Drosophila melanogaster: one gene and its partners. The protein of the gene in region 4 interacts with the protein of the main gene of each other region in a pairwise test. Each region holds a gene or a part of one and is shown on either strand. Other genes may lie near its edges.

Region 1 (7,570 bases), on a different chromosome or scaffold from region 4:
AAGAGGCCGCTGCGGCGGGCACAAGCAAATAGTCAACCCACTGGCTTGATAGAGATCTGGACTCCCGGTTGCATTTCCGGACAGGTTAGGCTTATAGTCAGTCGTTCGTCAGCCAAGACCCCGATTCGCCCAAGGACCTAGGATAGTTGGTTAGAATGTACATGAAGCAACATACATAATTCACGAGAATTGTATACAACTACGCATAGATATTACCGGGCTGTACAGCACGCGACATAGCAATAGCAATAGCAAGTGCCACCCAAGGACTTCGATTCTGTTCCGGTTTTTGTTCATTTTCGTTTGCAGTGCTGCTGTACGATAATTAAGTAATCTTACATTTTATTTCTCCACCTACCTGACTAAATTATTTACTGTAATGTATATATATAAATTTTCAAATAAAACATAATATGCAGCCGACAGAAAGACTCAATTATGTGTTATTGTGTTTGACGAAAATATATATATAGATTATGGCACTCGATAACGGTCGATTGCTACCGAAAATTAACTTTAACTAATGAATCCCTTTTCTAGCAAATATGGTCGCCGAAGAGAGAGATATAAAGATTGATAATCCCAGAGCAATCCCCATAAGTATAGCTCAAGAATGTTAAATATAAGCCTTAGATCTTTAAAATCGGAGTATGAATAGGGCGCTGGATACGACCTACTAAACTTCCTGGTCTGATTTAAGCATGACCTAATGAGGTATTTAATTTGCCTCGAGTCATGCTGAAATTTGCATACAATGGAATATGGATATTTGTAAATGGCACGATTTGATAAATATGAAAGTAGCTGCATGCCAAAGCTTGCCCCACAAAACTATCGCCTAGATGCCAATAAGTCGATTGCTAGCATTTACCTTTTACAGAATAAATGACCAAAAACCTGGCCACTAACGACTGGCAGATGCACACAAAAAACATGCTGCTAAATAAAATTTCAGTTTTAGTTTAATTTTATTTTATTTATGTATAAGAAAAGATATCAAGAAACAACAACGAATTTTGCGCAAGACTGGTAAACTAAGTCATTGAAACTTAAATACTGTGACTTTTATCTTTTGGAATACCTATCTGTTTTCGAATAGATCTTCATACATTGTGCCACAGTGCACGGTCTTATTCATGGCCAATAAAGGCAGATGGGGTCATGGCGTGCTGATGTATCTTCGGCTGAAATCTCGAGTTCCTTCAACGAGGAAAACAACACGGATGTAATGAGAACGTCCACTGATTTGTTTGACTTGGCTAGTGCAATGCGCTGTAGAAGATCGCCTCACCATTGTTTGACCAAGTGCTTGATATCTTCATGCCGGAACAGCAGAGCAACGTGGGCCATCGAAACGCCTAACTGGTTTCTGCTGTTTCTGCCTCGGAGAAAGCTTCTTGCCGGTCACGCAAAAGCTGTCTTAACTAAAAACAGCGTCCAAGTTTTGAGAACTTTTCAGCCAGCTAGCCGAGAACGAGCGGAAAAATCAACTAACGCTCGCAGATGTGAAAAATCGCGATCGCGAGTCGGCTCTCACGTTGGCGGCAGCAGCCCGCGTTTTCAGTCGCTCCGTGAAACCCGTCGCACTCACATCGAAATCGCGCGCAAGTCGTCGGATCCAAATCGCCTCGAAACGCTACGCACTTGGAGGAGGCAAATATCAAATATATGAGAATAATTAGTTAGGAGGCAGCCGAATCAGCGGAATCAAATCGATTTCCCTCGACTGCATTTAGCAGTGCTGCACCATCAAATCAAAAATAAATTAGAAAGTGTAAGTGAATATATGGCTGGCTGCCAGGAGACTGACATTATCAGCGGAGAAATGCAGGCAGTTGGCAGCCGATTGGGCGGATCGGGAGATCAATCGATCGCCGTCGCATGCAAATCGAGTGATAAACGATCGCCTCGAAATTGAAATAACAGGCGAGCAGCTGGCCCCCGGAGGTGGATACATATGCATATGTGTGATCAAACAGAAGTGTTTCTCGGGGAAGGGCGGCGTGAGGAGTGGGAGGAGTAGGTAGCCCCCAGTAGCCATATACTCATATACCTATCTATACTATACAGCCAGTTACCCGACTTGAGGCGCGCTCGTCTGCCTTGCGGTTGTATGTGCTTATTTATACAAAATATATTCAATTTCATTAAGCTGTCGCTGCTGGCTGGCCGTCCAGTAATTTCAATATTCAAATGATCGCTGATAGCTAAACCCCCTGACTTTTTTACTTTTCTGAGCGCCCGCAAAAGCTGCGGTAAAATTGAGAAAACCGCAGCGTATAAATAATTGGAAAACAATAATGCCACTGTTTGATCGCTGACCCAAATTGGCAGAGAAAATGAATGCATCTTAATGAAAACAGAGTCAGTCTGTTTGCTGCAGGCATAGCGATCTATATAGTCGATGCACTCGGTGATGTCAGAATTGCGAACTGACATTGAAAGTCTGCGAACGGCGACAACCTGAAAGCCTTCTTCTTTGCCTTTTTGGGGACCTCAAGTTGAACACGTTGCGAGTTTAGGGATAAGTGGGCCATCCAGCCCAGTGTTCAGGTGTGCGGGGGCGTATACGTAATATGCGCGCCTGGCATACATTTCAACTGAGCCACATTTTGGCTATTCGCCTCAGTCGCGAACCATAAAAATCACATCAAAGCCCCAAATGAAAGCGTCGTTCATTGAATCTTAAGTGGCCACTCCTCCTGGGAAGTAATTATAAAGGGAAATAAACGGTCTTCAAGACAAAACTGTTTCTAATCCATCCACATTTGGCAAAGTTCAGTGACGCGCATCCACTTGGAAGCAGTGAAAAATGAACAATGTGAAGGTTACTCAATTTACAAGGCAACAGATAACGCCACCAAATTTTATTTGACAAAAAATATTCTGGCAGAACAAGCCAAGGCGTTCGCACACCTACGCCATACGAGATGGCACATGGGCGTAGAATTCTCGACGAACAGGTGTTGAAAATCATAAGGTGGAGTCCCATTCCTGACCCCAGACAGCCACTGATCAGAGATTGTGAGAGCTGTTCCAAAAGTTCCACCGCTTTTGTCGACTCTCTAGATTTCTAGTTGCTCGCGACCTTGTGATCTATTAATAAGTGTTTCGTGTTTTTATATATGAATCATTTTGATGGGCGATCTGTTTATGAGTTAACTTTCGTTTGGCTGGGAAAACGAAAAGCCCAAAATCCGAAAGATCCCCGAAAATTGAGTTTTTGATCGCGTCCAATGTCGCGGCTTCATTGACCCTGAAAACTATGTAGTGTCGACAGAACGAAAAGTATCTCATGGATGCGCGCACATTTGTATCTTGCGTCTAAAAGACGCCGCTGCCACTAGTAATTACAAAATCTTGTTCGGCAAACGGAAACTTCAAAGGCTGCAATTGAGTTTGCAGCTGCAACGGTTTTAATTGATTTATATGGCAAGTCGAGTAATGTTTAAAAAGCCGCGGAAAAAAGCCAATTTGACAAAAAATCAAAGACAAAAAGTCAAGTGGGAGCTGGAATAGCAGAAATAAAAAAAACAAAAAAAAAACAAAAATGCGGCGTGCTTTGGACCTGTCAAATTTGGTAGAACGATTTCTACCGGTTTCAAATGGACCTAAATAAATGAAAAAAAAAAACAGACCCGGCCACTCAAGTGAGCTCCCACTTTCTGTCGAAGATTGTAGATTGAGCAATTTCCAGCCACATACAAAATGACTTTGTCTTTTCGATAACTTTTGTGCCTGGCGCAAAAAGTAGCGCAGAAAAATGTCAAACTTAATTACGCGTTGAAGCGCAAACTAATTGCCGAGTGGATTTGCGGGCTTCAGCGGGCAGCAGGGTCACAAAAGTTCGAATGGCGATAAAGTCGACAACAGCCAAAGCCGAGAATAATTGGCTTTGGCTCCGTTTTGCGGCCCACGACAACAGATAATAGCCGCACACAAAAAAGTATCTGTCAGATATACATATTTAAAAGCTGGACACGTGCTCATTGCACACGAAAATTAGCATTTACTTGTGGATCGAACCCATTTTCCACAAGCATAAAGGCAATGGCAATTGAAATGATTTATATGAGCATTATTTCACTTCGCTTTACTAGACAAATGGGTCAGCTTATGGTTAATGGGATACGATAAATGATTACTTGTGTTTTTATAATTTGAATTTTATTGTAAATACTTGTAGTTAAAATAATTTGTATTATAAATTTTTATTGAAAGTTATTATCTCATATAAAGTAATAACAATAATTACAATATGACTACGTTCTGAGACCATTCTACTATTTCGTGGTCTGACCCACAAATTTTGCAGCCTGCGGTAAATGTTTTTTGTTTTCCTTTTCTTGGCTTGCATTTTCTAAAGCCACTTTCTAAAATAAATATAAAATATTGATGTATTCCATGAAAAACGTCAAAAATTCATGCTTGAGTAAGTGCATTCCCAATGCCTTTTAATTTGTTTGTCGACAAACTTTACCTTTCACAAAACCGGCAGCATCCGCCACACTTTTACTCCCACACCATCACACTTCAGACCCAAAGCAACTCCATCCAGCTACGTAGTGCACGTCCAACTGCCCAGTTGCACTTGTCAAGTCAGAAGACTTTCCAAGACTCCAAGCCTACGTCAAGTGGAGGCACGAATTCCTCGGAAAGAGTCGCCCACGCCATGGCTTGAACTTGACTCCAAAAGCTGCGAGTCACGCCTATATATACATATAGTAAAACCACTTTGTGTGAGGCGAGCGGAAGTCAACGTCAGCATTAGATGAGTTCATTGCGAATATTAACGCCATTAAACGAATGAGTGGGCTGATCGCTTCCATATCGAGGTTGTCTACCCCTTTCCACTGATATGGAGAAGTCTCTAATTGTTCGCCGAGGTCTAAAGTATCTTAGCTTTACTTGGGTTTGTTCTTCTAACCAGGTCAAAACAGCGATATCGCATTGCCGCAGAAAGTAACCCAAGACGTTTGTCTGAGTTGTAGAAACCAGACAAATGCTTTCTGCTCGGATCTGTATCCAATTGAGGTACCATTTATAAACAGACGCAAACGTGGAGATCGTCTGAGTTAAAAACCCGTGCGAAACGCGTGTAAACGGCATGTTAATGCGCCATATGTCCGGTTTATGAGCCCCGCCGCCAGTTTGTGACGAAACTATAAAAAAAAGTTTTTGAACTGCTATAATTTAAAGAATGTGATGTGATCTTCGGCACGCACCCTCACCGCCGCCCCTGATAATTGCGCAATTTGTATAACACTTCTGTTGCCCAGATTGTTCGCATCTCTTCACTGTGTTGTTGTAGGTCGTTTGAGGTGTGAAACTCAGCGGAAATGGGCTTTACATACAAATGGTATCTGTAAATGTATCTGTATCTGTTCGCTAAACTTTAGTTGTTTGCCCAAGGCATTTCCCAGCCAGCCTTTCTATAATGACTCAAAGCGTTTCCATGTAAGACAAGATATTTTGGCATGTGATTATCTCATCCAAGACCGCCGTGAGCCACATGTATACATCAGATATATCACATGGATACACAAGTGCCCGCATCCAATGGATGCAAACCAGCTGCAGCGGCATTTGCAAGTGCCAACATGCGCCACATCAATCTGCAGCCGGTCCGAGGCACGTTGAGCGTTTGATTAATTTAATGACAATGCCCGGTGGCGCTATTTCGCTATCTGGATAGATGGGTGCAACCCACATATGTATACTCGTACCAGTTCCGCCGATCGTGTGCGCATGCACCGATGATATAAACTTTCCCAAGCTCGCCATCTCTACTGCCATTCCAGCTCGAATCCCTGAAGGAATAGTACGATTAAATTAGTCATTCGTGTCGTTGATTTATTTTAGAGCTTCCATAAATATAAAGCTTACGTCTTTCAAGTATTTCACGCTTTCTGTCCATTGTTTTCTTTGTTTCTTCTATTTTTAAAGCACATTTGTTTAATAAACATTTATTTTTTTTGTGTGCTTGACGTCACAACTGGTAAAACTGTGGAATTTTAATGTTGTAGTATTGGTTGTCTTTACTTTTGCAATAGTTCGGATATTTCAATTAAGTTACAAAACATATCTTTGTCTAGTTTTACATGAGTATATCGAGAACTTACTCACTATTCTATTGCTGTGTTTTTATTCTTTTAAGTTATATGTGTTCAAAATGGTACTTGAAATTGATGATTGTGTTTCTTAATATTTTCAGCTGGTAATCACAATATAGATTTGCCAAAATGCCGAAGCCACTGTTAAATTCGTGCTGTCTGTGCCAATCGACCCGGAATGGCTCCGTTATCTCGGGCATACTGGCGATAGTCCTGTCGATCATCACCATCGTGGTGATCTTCACGACGCGGGTGCACTTCAAGACGATAATCTTTGACTTCATCCCCAATGACATTGTTAAGATAATTCTAGTCATCAATTTGTGCATGACGATCTTGATATCGCTGCTCATGATCATTGGTGCCCTGAAGGTGTGTACTCAGCTAATTTAATTAAATGCATACAATAAAAATCTATCTATGTTCCAGCGGAACCACTACCTGATGGTTCCATGGGTGGTCCTCGGCATTATGATTGCCATCGGTCTGCTGATCTCCGTCATCTACACGGGCATCGTCTTCTTCATCGACGGCTACGTGCTGACGGGAGTCCTCTGGCTGATCTTCGGCCTAATTGTCTGCGGTAAGTGCACTCCCTCTTGGTTGGTGAAAAATGGGTGAGGGGGGGGGGGGGGTCTTGCTACTTCTCCATGTGCGGTTTTTAGCACCGGATGACGGTTATTGCGAGCCGTTTTTAATTTATAGACGCATTTATCATGCCATGATTGCCCGTGTGCTGAAAACAGAAGTGCCCCGGCGCCGCAGACTAGAGGATTTTGGAGGTAACTTGCCGGGTGGTGCAAGCAAATGAGGCGCAAAGTGGCTTGTTGAGGCCATTTGTAGAAATGTCAGCTGCAGAACTTTGATAGGAGTTTATTGGGAAAGCTATACGATTGTTAAATAAGCTCATTAAATGAATCAAACAAATTTAATTGTATTAATTCAGCGGTATAAAAGTTAAAGAACCGAATCACATTGTGAATGCTTCAGGTTTATACATATATTCCTCGCTTTTTTTTTACTTTTGAAAAATGATATTTTTCAAGTTTTACAAATTTGCATATTAAATTTGATAAAAATTAAGTGCTTACCGAAAATGAACCACATACGAGTTAAAAGTCAATTTACATTACATCGTGTAAAATCGGATGCAATTCATGTAGAATATAAAATGACAGCACTCTTTTGCGCGCACATGCCCTAACCCAATGTTCCTCCTCCATCTTTCAGCGATTATGACCTATTGCTGGTGCGTGGTCTATAGTGAATACGCCAACCTGTCCGAGGAGAACGAGCGCGGTCGTTACAACAAGCAGCCGTACCGTCGCTAGAATCTCCAGGAGCACTATTCATCAGAAATTGCATTCAAGAAGCTGAATCCACCACCCACACATCTTCATCCTAGCTTCCTATGTTCGTTTTTAGTGATTATGTCTAACTAATAATTATAATTTAGT
Region 2 (3,176 bases), on a different chromosome or scaffold from region 4:
GTTAGGCTTGAGTTCCGGGGGGCCATTCGAACACGACGACGACAGATATGTTCTACTTCAGTGGATTGCACAGCAAAAAGTGCAGTGCCACGATACGGACGAATCTCAAAGGCTGCGGCGAACCCTCTTCGTTGAGCACTTGCTGATTTCCATGCTGTGCTGCGAGGAGTTGCAGTTGCCGGATGGAGACAGACGAATACGGGAAGGAAATGGGGAGAGTGATCTAGACCAGGAAAACCATAGCAGTCTGGTCAAGGTCATGTCAGTGATGTCACTGCCGTGGACAGGAGTTTGGCAGACCAACCAGCTAGACGGATCGGAGGGGGAAGGCGAGATACGGGCAGCCAAAAAAGATGGAGTCGATCTGGACAAGGTGCAGATCGAGGAGCACAAAAGGGTGGCTGCTGAGGAGGCCATTGATTAGGATACTCGAAATTGTATCTGTTTTTTCAATCATGTTGAATCCGCTTTTTAGTTGCGTTACATATTTCAAAGAAAAACAAAATTTTTGTGAAAATTTGGCTTATATTTATAATATGGCTTTTATATTTTGGCTTTTATTTATATTTACAATGTTTTAAGTAAAACCATTTGAACATCTGAAAGAGAAGATATTTCCCGTTGTCCCTTATGTTAAGTGTATTTATTTCTGGGCACTATTTAATAAATATAAATGAATAATAAATATAAATTTATTTTCATAAAACTCATAAATTTTCGAGAACGATAAAGTAAAAAATTCCAATTGTTTTTTTATCATAAAGGTGTCATATTTTTATTGAGGTATCTGCGTTAAGACGGTGCTATGAATTGGTTTTTACCAGCCTTGTTGCTGTTGCTGCTGCTGATCACCGAATCCACCTCCGAATCCACCTCCAAATCCTCCTTGCTGCTGCTGCTGCTGATCACCGAATCCACCTCCGAATCCACCGCCAAATCCTCCTTGCTGCTGCTGCTGATCACCAAATCCACCTCCAAATCCTCCTTGCTGCTGCTGCTGCTGATCACCGAATCCACCGCCGAATCCAAACTGAGGTAGGGCAGCGGCCGCGGCGAATAGGGCAATGAAGAGGATCTGTAACAATATTAAAATCAACTTAGTTCTTAAAGGTTTTTCTTTGAAGCGTATATGTAAAACGTACCAAAAACTTCATGGTGCTGATACTTCGGTTAGTCTTGCTAATGTGAATAAAATTTTTGGACGCCTCCGATCTTTTATACTCTCCTGCAATCTCATCATGTCGTCACGCGCCGAAGTATTATCAATGTTCTGACAAAATCAAGTACAATTAACCCAACAAAAATACGAAAAAAATTTCCAGACGTCTGGGAAATTAATATTTGAGCACTGTATCAATGCCTATGCTCAACGGGGGGAACCCTTCAACATCAATCTTATCTGGGAAGTCGAGCCTAATCTAATAAGTCCGCAACAGTTGCTAAGAAAAACTAAGGGCGACTTAGAAGAAGACGTTGTTTGAGATTACTTTAGATCATTTATGTTCCGTTTTCACGCATCACAAACGTGTTACGGCAACAAATGTTCTTGTTTGCTTTTCTGGGTTATCATTAGACTTTCGAAATGAGGAGGGATAATTAAGTATGAAATCCTTGTAATCATGGATTAATTTTTTATACATACGTATAATTATGTTATGTCTTTGAATTTTAGCGCTTAACAGGTTAGACCACTATAGTCGCATTCCTCGATTATCAGATACCCATTTCTTAGCTAATAGAAGAACTAAGATATTTACAAGACAAGACTAGATGAAATCAATGAAGAATCTAGAGTGTTGTTGGCACAGGTTCTGAAAGAATTGGAACTATTTAGAGGTCTGAATCTCATTCAGTTCATACAGACAGGCTTACAGACAGATGGCCAAACGAATACGGCTAGATAGACTCCGCTGGTGATGCTGGTGAAGAATATATATATTCTGTATAGGTAAAGGTTCGGCAACGCCTTCTTCGAACTCCCACAGACTTTTTAAAGAATTTGGTATACTCAATTACTCCACAAGTACCGTCTATAAAAACATAGAAATTATGTGTCTTAAAAAATTGTATTTATTAAACTAATAAGACTAGTTTATTTCTTTACATCCTTTTTTTTAAAGAAATATTATTTGTATTTTTTTTCGCTGTGTTTGGTTACATTCAAAAACATTTAAAATTTTCCAAACCAATTGTACTTTTTTTGAGAGCAAATTCAGCCTAAAAGAATACTGTTAAGCTTGTGAATTTAAATGCAGCGCTAAAAAGTCTTCGCCGTTTCTTATACTTTTTTTTTAGTGGCAATTGAAAAGCTTTTAATCGGTATATAGCTAATCAGCTCCAAAATAAGCAAAACAAATTAACAAGAAGAAAGATCAGGCTAAAGGTCCTCAACCCCTGATCAGAAATCAGCTCTGTTAATGCAGTGCTAGAATTTTGCTACCTCATCGCAGACGCTTAATCTAATAATCACAGCTTGGGGTATATAGATTTCGATAGGAAATAATAAGCAAAAAATAAGAAAATTTTGTTTTTATTACTTTGTTTTGGTGCAAATCGCTCCATTCGGCTTCCACCTGCTATATGTTTATTAAACATCTTATTTTTAAGAGTGTACTGAATCCACCACAATGGTCGCCGAAAGGGGGTGGTGCAAGGGCGGAGGTGCATGAAGCCGGAAAACTTCTATTACAACTGCCGCGCACCAAGTCGGGAAAATTAAAAAGAAGAGAGCGAGATGGAGATTCAAACCGAGACAGAGACAGAAGAGTAACTAATGGCACAACAGCCACATTTAGAACCGATGTGTTCAACGCAATACCTACTAAAATAGCAATTTTTGTGGATTTTTTGGGTTTTGAATTTTATGTGTACACACACTGAAGCTGTATTACATTTGGACATATGTATAATTATAAATTCAAGCTAAATTTTCAGCTCAAGGGAAGTTTAATTTTCGATAACTGCATTCTGATTTGAGCAAATATAAAATATCCTTTGAGTTATCTTCTACTGTCAAAAGATTTAGATAAAAGATTTAGTTCCTTATCAATAATGGGGGCTTATTTCTCGTTTCATATAGGTTTGGAAAACAAATTGCATTATCGTTATTTGTCACGTAGATAGCTGTGCTCACCGGACAAAATAGTACAGTGCATGTTTATTTAACTTTTTTTTCG
Region 3 (7,886 bases), on a different chromosome or scaffold from region 4:
CTTATCGAGCACTTATGTAAATTGTTATTTATAGTGCCGGATCGCACTTCTCCATGTCATCGGGCTTGTTACTCGCTACTCTTTCAATCCCCGGAACCAGCTTAGACCAAAGTTCATGCCCAGCCAGCTGGGTGATCATTGGTCACCAGTGGCACTTGATAAAGTCATGACGTTTTCTACATTTGTTACACTTTGCTCCGTTCTCCATTATTAGCTTAGGAAAATACAAAACAATACATTACTTACTATATCAATCAGCTATTGTTTAGTACGCGACGAGGAGGGACAAAGTCCGCCGGAGGATTGAATCATATACTAGTAGAGTGGGATCGGGGTTCGTTTGATGGTGTAATTAATACGATAATAACTAAATAAGCACTTATCAATGAAGTTGAATTGCTGGGGAATGAAAAGTGGAATAGTTTGGAGTTCCGAAATGGAAAGTGAAAACATACAGATTGTCGGTATAGTATTGTTATAGTATTATTTAATAATGCAGTTAAAAGTCCGCTAAGTTTAGTTGAAGTTTATTGTAGTGTTATAAAATACATTCTAGTTGAATGCAAAATTAAGTATATTATGCACATCAAATTGCAGTATTTAGCTTAATTATTACAAAACTGGATATCAAACATTGGTTGCAAAATCTAGTCTTGAATAAATTGAAGTTTAGTGTTTCTTTTATATATATGATTAAAGTATTATATGATATGATCAAAGTATTATACGGATACCTCTTCGAATTCAAAATCCAATCTCTTTGTTCCATAAATTCACGTGGAAATGGAAATGAGTGGCGATAACCTTGCTCCGCGAATGTTAATTAACCCACAAGGGATCGATGAGCACCGAACAAGGAAGCTAAACGGTGAAGTAACTCTGATTCACGAGCGGCACAAAGAGCCTTAACAAGCAAACCAACCTATTGGCGGGCACATTGTGAACATATATAGGCATTGTTAACTGGCCCGATAATATTCAGTCCGTGGAATAGAGCTCGCTTTTGTTTCAGAATGAAACCGAAATGAAGAAAGCGACGCGGGAATGTTTATTACGTATTACGTATACGCCAATTATGGAGTGTCAAAGAAATTCGATAGGTGGACTTGTGACCCCAAAGCACGATCCGTTGTCAACCGGAGCAATCGGGCCGAGATCGTGATCGTGTGCCGCCAAAAAGCCAAAACTCAATCAGCCAGGTGAGAATACCTATGTGCGTGTGTGTGTGCTCCGTGCGCGTTGGTGTGCGTGAGCGGCTCTTATCAGCGAAGGAAAACGACAATATAACAACGGCTAAACACTAATAACCAATGCGAAATATACGCGAGCAGCGACTGCCGAACGATCTTGGTTTTGGATTCAGTGCTGCGAATCTAGCTATTTTCACCTGCAGGAAAATTTAATAAAATATGGCATAATTACTAATTCATTTTAATTTAATTTTACTCCCCCGTTACGTTTAATAGTTTACAAGAAGCTTTCTTAAATATTTGCACATTGTTTATACTTAGACTTTTGCAATAACAAAAATGATAAACTAAAAAACTGGTTTTGTATTGTATTCTATATCTAACTCTTAAGATACCCAATCCAATTAATAGCAGATACAAGATGTTTGATTGTAGCTTGTAGTTCAATGTACAAAGATCAGAAACTGAAAGATGATTCATCTTATTTATAAATGGATTACCACTTCAGTAGCTGCAGTAGCTTAAGTAATAACTACTTTAAAAACAGGTTTGTGATTGATTGATAATCAAAAGATTTGTTAAATAAAGTTATTTACTGAATTTAAATGCATACTAGTTGATTTATTTCCCGCCATAGATGTAGAGCTGCCACCACTGAACGCCTTCGATAAAGCCCGCGCTCCACACACATCCACACCCACATCCACTTGGGGAGCTGAGATACACGACACACACCCGCTGAGACAGCCGATCGTGTTCTTTGTGGCCAGTGAGTCGTCAGCTGGGCCGACGAAGCGATTCTCCGACTTCTGGACGATCGGTTTGGGATCGGGAATGGGTATTGGTATGGGTATGGGTATGGGAACGGGAACTGCTACCGTCATACAGCCATTCGGCGCTGCAGCACCAGAGCTAGCTGGGATCACTGTTTGTTGACTGGACGCCAGTCGCGCACGTCGCTTCGAAGAAGCTGTTACTCGGTTGTGCGGATCGCGAGTTAAGTCCGTGCGAAGTAGTAGTTTCCCTGCAAATCCCTTCCAGAGTGCGTTAATCCTGACTCTCTTAAGGGTAAGGACTCCACTTGAGTGCACACACACAGCTGTGCTCATGCAAGGGGATGAAGTGAATCCAAAGAAAAGGATACAAAAATTAATGTATAAAAAATGAAAATTATTGGTGTAATTAATGTGATAAGTTTTAAATAAAACGCACTATCAATTAATCTGTGACAACCGCAATACGAGTGAGCCAACAAAAGCAAGACATATTTTATAAATTTACTAGAAACAATAAGTGGCTGAAAAAAAAACTAGAGCAGCGTATTAAATTTATGAATTTAAAAAGAGTTAAATTTTGGAAATTAGAGTTTCATCTAAGTGACTGCAAATTTATAAAAAAAAACATATTCAAAGATTTCAGTAATAAGTGGAGTATTGATGTAATACCTACTTCGCCAGTCGCAGTAAAATGAATTGACGTTTTTAAGACAGAAATTTATTGGCCAAGAGCTTATCAGTGAATTTAGATATAAACGCCAGTCTTTGTTAACACACAAAACTCATTCGAATCGCACGAAGGCAAGTGTTAAATGACTCAATGATTCATGCTACGATATATGCCATGGAATAGATACAAGTGAAATGTATCTTTTTGGCGACTCGAGACCTGATCACTTGTGGGTCACATCCGATTGGGATGACCCCCAATCCGAAACTGCCAAGTTCGCTTTTCGCGCTCTGAGCTCCAGATTTGTAACATGTGAAATGAATAAAATCGATTAGTTGACACAAAGTTTTGTCACAGAATGCGGCAATCGCACTCAAAATCAATATGACAATAATCGAAGACCAAAGATGGGATGCGGTTGTTATTTCCGAATTATCACGCATTATCAGAAATGCATAAACAGAAATCTGTTCCGAGTCATCGAATGGGTTTGAATCGGTAGGGATTTGCTCCCGTTTCCCCATTACCCCGATATTCCGATCTTGAATCAAACAGCTGCTGCTTTCGTTTCCATCTCCTCCCAGCTGCACTGCCGCATAAAATCTGGCGGAGAAGGGGATCCGGTGAACCGGTTTGCAAGGTATACAAGCTATACAAAACAATGTTTCAACGCAGCATCAGCACACAAATGATATACATGGTATACATATGTACGTATGTGTGATGTGTGCACATAAGTGCTGTGGTGTTAAAGGCCGATCTAAGTCTCCGAAAGTCGCAGGCAAACACGAAATGTAAAGCCGGGCTCGAACAAAGGAGTCCAAGAAAATAGCAAGCCCGGCAAAACGTGACCACGGTGGGATCTACTCCGGCATCAGTCAATAATGATGTACAGCCAGCCGATTAAGAGCCATCAATGTCACTCCCTTCGTGACATCCAGGTCATCATCGGGAAATATGGGGCATTGACCATAGGTAACTGTGTTATAACTTAATTAGGTGCATGGCTGCGGAGCAGTTCCCACTGGCGAAGCCCCTACCTTTCCCAACTACTCGAAAACGGAAAGGGAAATCTCCCGGTCGAGGAATTTGCCCAGCTCCTGATAAGACTGCTCGGGCTATATTATTTAGACATTCGTCACAGGTATAAGATTGATTATAATATGAACTTTCAGAAGCGCAGATTCGCAACCTATAAGATACAATCTATACATTGGTGTAACTACAGCCATGCCATATCTGGATCTACTTTCCAAGCAAAAGGATTGCATCCACACAGTTAATTATGAATAATTGATTTAAACAATTTTCATTTCAATCCCACTTTGATAAGCTGTAGCCCATCAATATGTAGCTGCAGCTACATTTATTGCATTTATTACATTTGTTGTTAACTCGCCGCTTGGAACAATGCTTTTGTTTTGATCAGCTCGGATCGGATCGGATCAGATGGGATGGGATCGGATCTAGAGAATCGAGTGGATCGCTTGGATGGACGGATCAATGGCAGATGTGCATATACGACGGCACTCTCACCATCGCCATTCCATCATTCCATTTCCACTCAATTGTGCCGCTTTATTGTTTGCCTCCGCCTCCGTCTGAGCAATTGTACCTTGATCTTTTCGCAAATCTGTGCATTAAATGTACTCGCATTTAATTGTCTTTTGCAGCAGTGCGAAATGTGGAGTAAACTGCGTGCTACATTTCGCTTATGTAAACTGGCACTTAATGCGAACGGTGGATGATAATTGCATGGTTTCGACATCCATCCAATTCGACACCATGTCTTTGGTTAATCGGAAGCATCATCTACGCTGGATTAGTTGCTATCCCCATCGATCCTCCTCCCTTTACATGCCCTTTAAAATTAACAATCTCACCGTGCAATCGTGAATAATCCATGTGAATATGACGGGGTTAGACGACAAAGGTTGATCGATCTCCCCCAGCTTTCGATCAAAGTGCACATTCAGCTGGCGTGGAACCCGTTTCAATAAGCTAAGCTAAATATTTTGTATCGGCTAGCAACTGGTTGCCAACTGATTCCCACTTTTAGCCACGCACCTTGCACAATCCATCAAATCTGCAGACAAAGATCCAACTGGCTAATCATCAAGAGAAGAGTTTCATATAGAGTTAAGCTTTTAGGATGTAATAGAAAACTTTCAGTGAATCCGAAATATATATTTTTATTATATTACAGTTGACAGGCTATCCTAGAATCCCAGAATGGCGACACCGCGCGAGCAGTTCTTGTTCGGCAGCGACAACGGAGTGGCCGGCCTCGGTCTGGGCATCGAGATCGGGGAGGTGACCTCCAGTCGCGTCTATAACAGCACCACAGTGCCAGTTGGCAACAGTGGCGGATGGCGGAATGCCCAGTCCAGTGTTACGCCACCACCCATACCCACACCGCCACAGGTGAACTATACCAATGGGAATGAGCCCAGCAAGCAGCCGCCACTGGAACCTGTCGTGGAGGAGGAGGTGCACTTCGACACCGATGCCCTCAATAATCTGCCAGCTCGCGAGCCTGTGGACATGGAGTTCAAGGAGCTGTCCCTCACCGTCAAATTGGGCTTCAATCGAGGTGAGCTACAAGAAGCGAGTTGTCGCTAACTAACCATTGCGATCGCATGATCTAAGATATGGCTCGATAAGATTGGGGCAGCGGAGAACTTAAAATTAGCTGGGCATTTATATATGTTTTACGATCAGCGGCTACTCTTTGAACGGGAATGACCTTCAATTCTTTATATCCTACCAATATAGTCTCATAAATAATATCTAAATTATGACTAGACAAAACTACTGTTATAATAGAAGATAAAACATATGCTAGAAAGTCTTTTCATTAATAGTATTCTAAGGGATACAGATATACTCAGATAAAGCAAATCCTTCAGATACTATATTTCAAATGTTTCTTAAGTACGAGTGCCATAAGATAATTACATCCGAACAAAGTTTACTACAAGGTTATTCTTTTCGGCAGTGCCTCCACATACCAATCACTTGCCAAACACTTGCTTGCTAGTTCTTTAACCAACTTGGTTTTCCATTGATTAGATAAGAGCCGATCACTCCGCTTATTCCGATCACACCCCCTTCCCGGTTGTATATATTCAATGCCAGTTAGTCATTCATAAATTCCCTTTCCGTCGAGTCCATAAAATGATAAGAAATAACTTGCCAATACGATAGTTAGTAGAGCATTTGTAATTCGATATGATGGGTTTGGCTTTAGAACATTTTGCTAATTTCAAAGTTCAAAAGATATCGACATTGTTTAGCCCCTGGTAACTTGATTAGAACTGCACAAATTTTCAACCCGTGGCGGTAATTAATTAATCAACCTTTCGGTAGGTGGATATATGGCCATTGCTATCGGAATGTTAAATTGGTGACTAGAAGTGCTAAAATGTGTAATATTGCTAACATAACAATACGATTACTGTGAAAGATTGAGTTAATTAAGCTAAACCCTTTTTCCCTATATTTGCAACTCTTTTCTATGGCTTGATACGTATATCACCTAGAATTGTTTACTGATTTGAATTGTTTTCGAGTTGTGTAGTTAACAGGTTATTCACTGAAGTGGATTAATGTAGATTTACTCGAGATCTTACCTCAATAGCCGTTTAATTCAGCCAAGTTATAGCCTGCAGATGATTCATGAATATCGTCGCTCGTACGCGTACTCATGGGTTCTCCATTGGTTCCCTGAACCTTGATACCGACGACCGTATAAAAAAAAAACACACTGAATGTCTATTAAGTTTTTATGATCATATTTTACGATGGCATTTAAGTAATTTCGCAATTTCTTAGGATCCAAGGAAATCTTGCACAATGTGTGCGGAAAGTTCCCAGGCAGCCAGCTGATTGCCATCATGGGACCTTCGGGTGCAGGAAAGTCCACTTTGCTAGATGCCCTTTCAGGTTTCAAGACGACCGGAGTGGATGGCTCCATCTTGCTCAATGGTCGGCGACGTGATTTGCGTTAGTATATGACCTCACTTAATTTATTCAATATATCCAGAATTCATGGTAATCCCTCCCTGCAGCTTCCTTCCGTCGGATGTCCTGCTACATCACCCAGGATGATCGTCTGCAGCCGCTGCTGACGGTAAACGAGAATATGCATATAGCCGCCGATCTTAAACTGGGTCAGACAGTCAGCTACGAGGAGAAGGAGAGCAGGGTGAGTGGGGTGATCTTCACTTAAAGATCATAGTCATAAATCGCGGATTTACCCTTGCAGATCGAGGACATTCTGCTGCTCCTTGGTCTGTACAATCACGATCAGACCCTTACAATGCGCCTGTCCGGTGGTCAGAAGAAGAGGCTATCCATTGCCATGGAGTTGATCAATAATCCCACTGTGATGTTCCTGGACGAGCCCACAACGTATGAGCCAATATATCCATTTTTAACAAACTGAGGAATGTTTACATCTTGCTTTTCTTTCTTTCAGTGGCTTGGACAGTAGCTCGTGCACAAAGGTCCTGGAGCTGCTCAAGAAGTTGACCAGCCAAGGACGCACCATTATTTGCACCATCCATCAGCCGACGGCCAAGTTGTTCCAGATCTTCGATCAGGTCTACGTCCTGTCCGCTGGCAACTGCGTCTACCAGGGCAGCACCCAGAAATTGGTGCCGTTCCTGCAGTCGGTGGATCTGCCCTGTCCGATGTACCACAATCCAGCGGATTACAGTGAGTCCAGCACAGATCTCTGAGTGAATTTACACTAATACAATCCTTATTGCTCCAGTTATCGAGCTCGCTTGCGGAGAGTATGGATACGACAAGGTCGACACCCTTAAGCTCGCCACTGAGAACGGAAGCTGCCTGACTTGGTTCCATAATCCCAGTGCGGTGTTGCGCGCTGAGGTCTTGATGAGAAAGTATCCCATACCAAAGAAAACCAAAAGCCGATCCCTGGAGGACACCAGCTACTCAAACCAGTGCTCTGTGCTTTTGCGACGAGGTTTCATCAAAGCCAAACGAGACACGACCATGACGCACTTGAGGATCGGAGTCAACATAGCAGTGGCCGCTCTGTTCGGAGCTATGTACGATCACACGGGACGTGAAGGATCACGAGTGCTCGACAACTACAATCTTCTGTTTGCCATACTGATGCACCATTCCATGACCACGATGATGTTGACTGTTCTGACTTGTAAGCTCACTTGAGTCGATTGCGTAGACATATTAACTTATTTGAATATCATTTGACCAGTC
Region 4 (3,590 bases):
TCGTCATTCATAATTAATGTCGACAAAGGAGTGTACTTGGCATTGCAAATTAGTCAGGCACGTGAAAACACCATTTTTATTTTTAGCCTAATTTGTACGTGTTTTTGAGTGCTTTTAACCTCTCAAACAAACATTTTTGTTGTTTATTTTTAGAACCGCTTATAAACAATATACAACTATATGGCGGAGAAATGGCATTGTGTGAAAAACTTTAATTAGATCTAAGAATATCATTTAATATATTGTTTTTTAATGTGTTTTTATTGCACAGATAGCTATTAATAGCACTTGGAATCTTTCTTTAATAGGAAATCTACTATAGACACTGTTGAAACTAGCTTTAGCTGTAGTTTTTGTATAAAACCTAGTCTAAACTACATGTTTACTATGTTTACCTCTTTATTTCCCTTCCTGTGAAGCTTTCTTAGTCCACCCACCTGAATTGTTTACGCCTCTCACTCAAATCCAGGACTCTTCTCAATGGCTTGGGTGAGTTGCCCGGCGACGTGGCTGCCGCTCCATCATTTTCCTCCTCCAGAGAACTGGACACCGAGGTACTTGCCACCATTTGGAGGGCCAATTGGAGATCCTCCTCACGCATTTTTTGTTGTTTTTTTTTATTGGAAAAGTATGAAAAAAAAACCGAGTTTTGAGACGACAACCTCGTTGTTCCGGTGGCGAGATCCAACTAAGTGACTTCTCGTGCTTCGTTTTCCAAAATATATACAATGCATGCGCATATGTAATACTTGGCAGTGCGATCGGAGAGGTAAGTTGTTGAATAGATGCTATGCCCGCCTCGTACACTCGTACTTTGAATTCATTAAGAGCCTTCCGATATTTACATTTCCAGAGCAACTTTTTTCGAGCGGTCCATATTTTGGCGGCCCCGGGGCGTGGCCGATCTGGTATGAGATCGATTTATAAGCTATGCGTGGATTAATAGCCGGTGGCGCACTCTTAATAATATATGTCCGAAGGTAGCGCCAAGAATATAGGCCCATTTTTGCATTAACACCGATCGATTTTAAGTGGACCTGCGCCTGCCAATATTGTCGATACACATTTTCACATTTTTATATGCCATTTGCATATTCCGTTTGTCCATTTTATATAAGAAATATTTTGTCGCTTTAAATTTGTATTTATGACCAAGGTGAATTCTCAGGGGTGTCAGGAACTACTGATCAAGTAGGGATTTCTTTATTAATAATAATTGTTTGTTTATTGCATTTTTGGGTTTAAGTGTGTAAAGTGGTAAAATTTCATACATTTTTGATTTCATTTTGGTAATATTGATGCTATTTAAATATTTATTTATTACTTGCACCGATTTCCTTCTTAATTTATTTTTAAGTATTTTAGTTATATAAAGAGATTTTCTTTGGATTTAATGTAAATAATTTTTTACATGAATGAATCCGAGCTTACATCTATTCTACATCCGACTTGACTGTTGCATTCTACAGCTGCGCTGCGGTCACACTAAGCGGCAACACCGGGTGGAATCGATAAACAATTACTATCGAACACACATCGATTGTTGAGAGAGCTGTGAAGCCGACGATTTTACGTCAAAAGCGGAATAAGTTTATTTAACGTACGAAAAAGCTAAGCATAATGTCAGCAAAGGCAGCCTTACCACTGCAGATGTTTGGCCGGCGACTCGTCCACCTGAGGTCATCGGTCACTTCTCAAAATATGAGGTAATTCCGGTTGCATTGCTTCCTCTTATCTGTGACGTAATGAGGGCGCACGTTTGTCGTTTCGCATGTAATTCTAACATTGCCTCCCGTCTCACTCCCAATCGTCTACCACACAACCAGTGCCCTGCGTTTGTACAGCACAGAGAAACAGCCGGAAGAAGCGACAGAGCAGAAGGCCACCGAATCGTCGCCAGAAGTTGAGAAACTCACCAAGGAACTGGCCGCCGCCAAGGAGCAGAATGCCGAGCTAATGGACAAATACAAGCGTTCGCTAGCCGACAGCGAAAACATGAGGAACCGACTGAACAAACAGATCAGCGACGCCAAGATCTTTGGCATCCAGAGCTTCTGCAAGGATCTGCTCGAGGTGGCGGACACACTGGGACATGCCACACAGGCGGTGCCCAAGGATAAGGTACAAACTATCTTATCTTAAGATTTAAGGTTTAAGGTATCTTAAGGATTCAGACTCGCAATGAAGTTGCATATGTTGAGATAAGAATTTCGTAATTATTTGTTGCCAATACTTGAAAATCTTCATAGCATTTTAAGGTGTATTTTCCCGATCTTTCCATTTCTATCTGAGAGATAACAAACCCGATTGCATTACATACATCTAATTGTACATATAGATTTGTTGGGGTATTTTAAATTGAGATATTTGGATAACTTGTTAGCCATTTTAGACTTAATAGATAGTTTAATCGTTTTGCATTAACATTCTTAAAGCTACCCTTACTAATGATCTTAATTATTGCAGCTCAGCGGCAATGCTGATTTGAAGAACCTGTACGAGGGCCTCACCATGACGCGCGCCTCGCTGCTGCAGGTGTTCAAGCGACACGGACTGGAGCCACTGGATCCCATCAACCAGAAGTTCGACCCCAATCAGCACGAGGCGCTGTTCCAGAAGGAGGACAAGACCGTCGAGCCCAACACCGTGGTGGAGGTGACCAAGCTGGGCTACAAACTGCACGAGCGTTGCATACGTCCGGCCTTGGTGGGCGTGTCGAAGTGTTGATAGCCATGCGGCTGCCCAGAGGCATGTAAAATTCCCAGTACTCCCCCCCCCCCCCTAAACCAATTTACATGGCGTGTGTCTCTCAATTGTTTGCAATTTGTTTTCCGCTGCAAAATTCATGTACGTAAACCCTGTGTAAATACAACCTATCCCACAAACGCATCCTTCGGGCAAAGCTTGCGAATTTAGAATTCCTCCTAGTTTCTAAGAGATCTGTGACTGGATTTGATGGCCACAATTTGTACCATACGCGTGGCCATCGAGTGTTCCACTTTAAGGTTTAATTACGATAATAAAACATGTTTTAGTTTGTTGAAATATACCACGGAAATTTGTATTTCATCCTCATCTGGAGGAGACTCTGTTTATCTAGGTCTCTTTTTAGTTTCCTTTGATTTTCCCCGTTTTCCTTAGCCCTTGAAATTCGAATCCCTCATGAAAAACCATTTCTTTTGTTAACAAAAACCAGGTAGCGAAGCGTAATCGCATTCCTGCTCGTCGCGTAGGTGGAAAATTCAATGGAAATGCGTGATTTTCTATGACCCAGCAGGTAGGCTTCCAAGCACGTTCCCATGAATTCAGAGGTAGCACAGATGGTGGGTTCCCTAAAACGAGATTTGCGCCAGAGTTGAAAGTCTACTTCAAACGGTTTTGAACTATCTCGTTGGTTAGTTGTCCTTAAACATTTGAAGTGAACGGTATGATTGGTGTGCTAATGCGTTTTCTCTGGTCCTTGGCCATGGTGCAGTGCATCCAGGCTAGAGTGTCGATGCTGCCTCGTTTTTATGGACAAGACAGCGCTGTTATAGTGGACATCAATAGAAAATTCCCACCTAGAATGGACTCCAAGCTGCAGAATGCCC

The links.
Region 1: the proteins of Roe1 (region 4) and CG10311 interact in a two-hybrid assay, tested with the Drosophila melanogaster proteins (one large-scale study listed by BioGRID).
Region 2: the proteins of Roe1 (region 4) and CG31775 interact in a two-hybrid assay, tested with the Drosophila melanogaster proteins (one large-scale study listed by BioGRID).
Region 3: the proteins of Roe1 (region 4) and CG5853 interact in a two-hybrid assay, tested with the Drosophila melanogaster proteins (one large-scale study listed by BioGRID).

Annotation. Positions count from the first base shown.
Region 1 is NT_033777.3:16,351,004-16,358,573, reverse strand, and holds the start of CG10311 (uncharacterized protein), read left to right. Parts: upstream 1-1,558; 5' UTR 1,559-1,774; intron 1,775-6,214; 5' UTR 6,215-6,242; coding exon 6,243-6,485; intron 6,486-6,542; coding exon 6,543-6,696; intron 6,697-7,343; coding exon 7,344-7,444; 3' UTR 7,445-7,570. Other genes in the region: CG17931 (uncharacterized protein), read left to right, coding at 1-32.
Region 2 is NT_033779.5:14,736,577-14,739,752, forward strand, and holds CG31775 (uncharacterized protein), read right to left. Parts: upstream 1,194-3,176; 5' UTR 1,155-1,193; coding exon 1,143-1,154; intron 1,076-1,142; coding exon 818-1,075; 3' UTR 514-817; downstream 1-513. Other genes in the region: CG31835 (uncharacterized protein), read left to right, coding at 1-424.
Region 3 is NT_033779.5:9,941,638-9,949,523, reverse strand, and holds the start of CG5853 (uncharacterized protein), read left to right. Parts: upstream 1-1,875; 5' UTR 1,876-2,258; intron 2,259-4,842; 5' UTR 4,843-4,868; coding exon 4,869-5,229; intron 5,230-6,465; exon of another isoform or gene 6,466-6,470; coding exon 6,471-6,641; exon of another isoform or gene 6,642-6,706; coding exon 6,707-6,843; exon of another isoform or gene 6,844-6,903; coding exon 6,904-7,049; exon of another isoform or gene 7,050-7,116; coding exon 7,117-7,355; exon of another isoform or gene 7,356-7,413; coding exon 7,414-7,824; exon of another isoform or gene 7,825-7,884; coding exon 7,885-7,886.
Region 4 is NT_033778.4:13,552,561-13,556,150, forward strand, and holds Roe1 (Roe1), read left to right. Parts: upstream 1-1,516; 5' UTR 1,517-1,620; coding exon 1,621-1,706; intron 1,707-1,826; coding exon 1,827-2,121; intron 2,122-2,466; coding exon 2,467-2,727; 3' UTR 2,728-3,046; downstream 3,047-3,590. Other genes in the region: link, read left to right, coding at 3,428-3,590. UniProt on the Drosophila melanogaster protein: Essential component of the PAM complex, a complex required for the translocation of transit peptide-containing proteins from the inner membrane into the mitochondrial matrix in an ATP-dependent manner.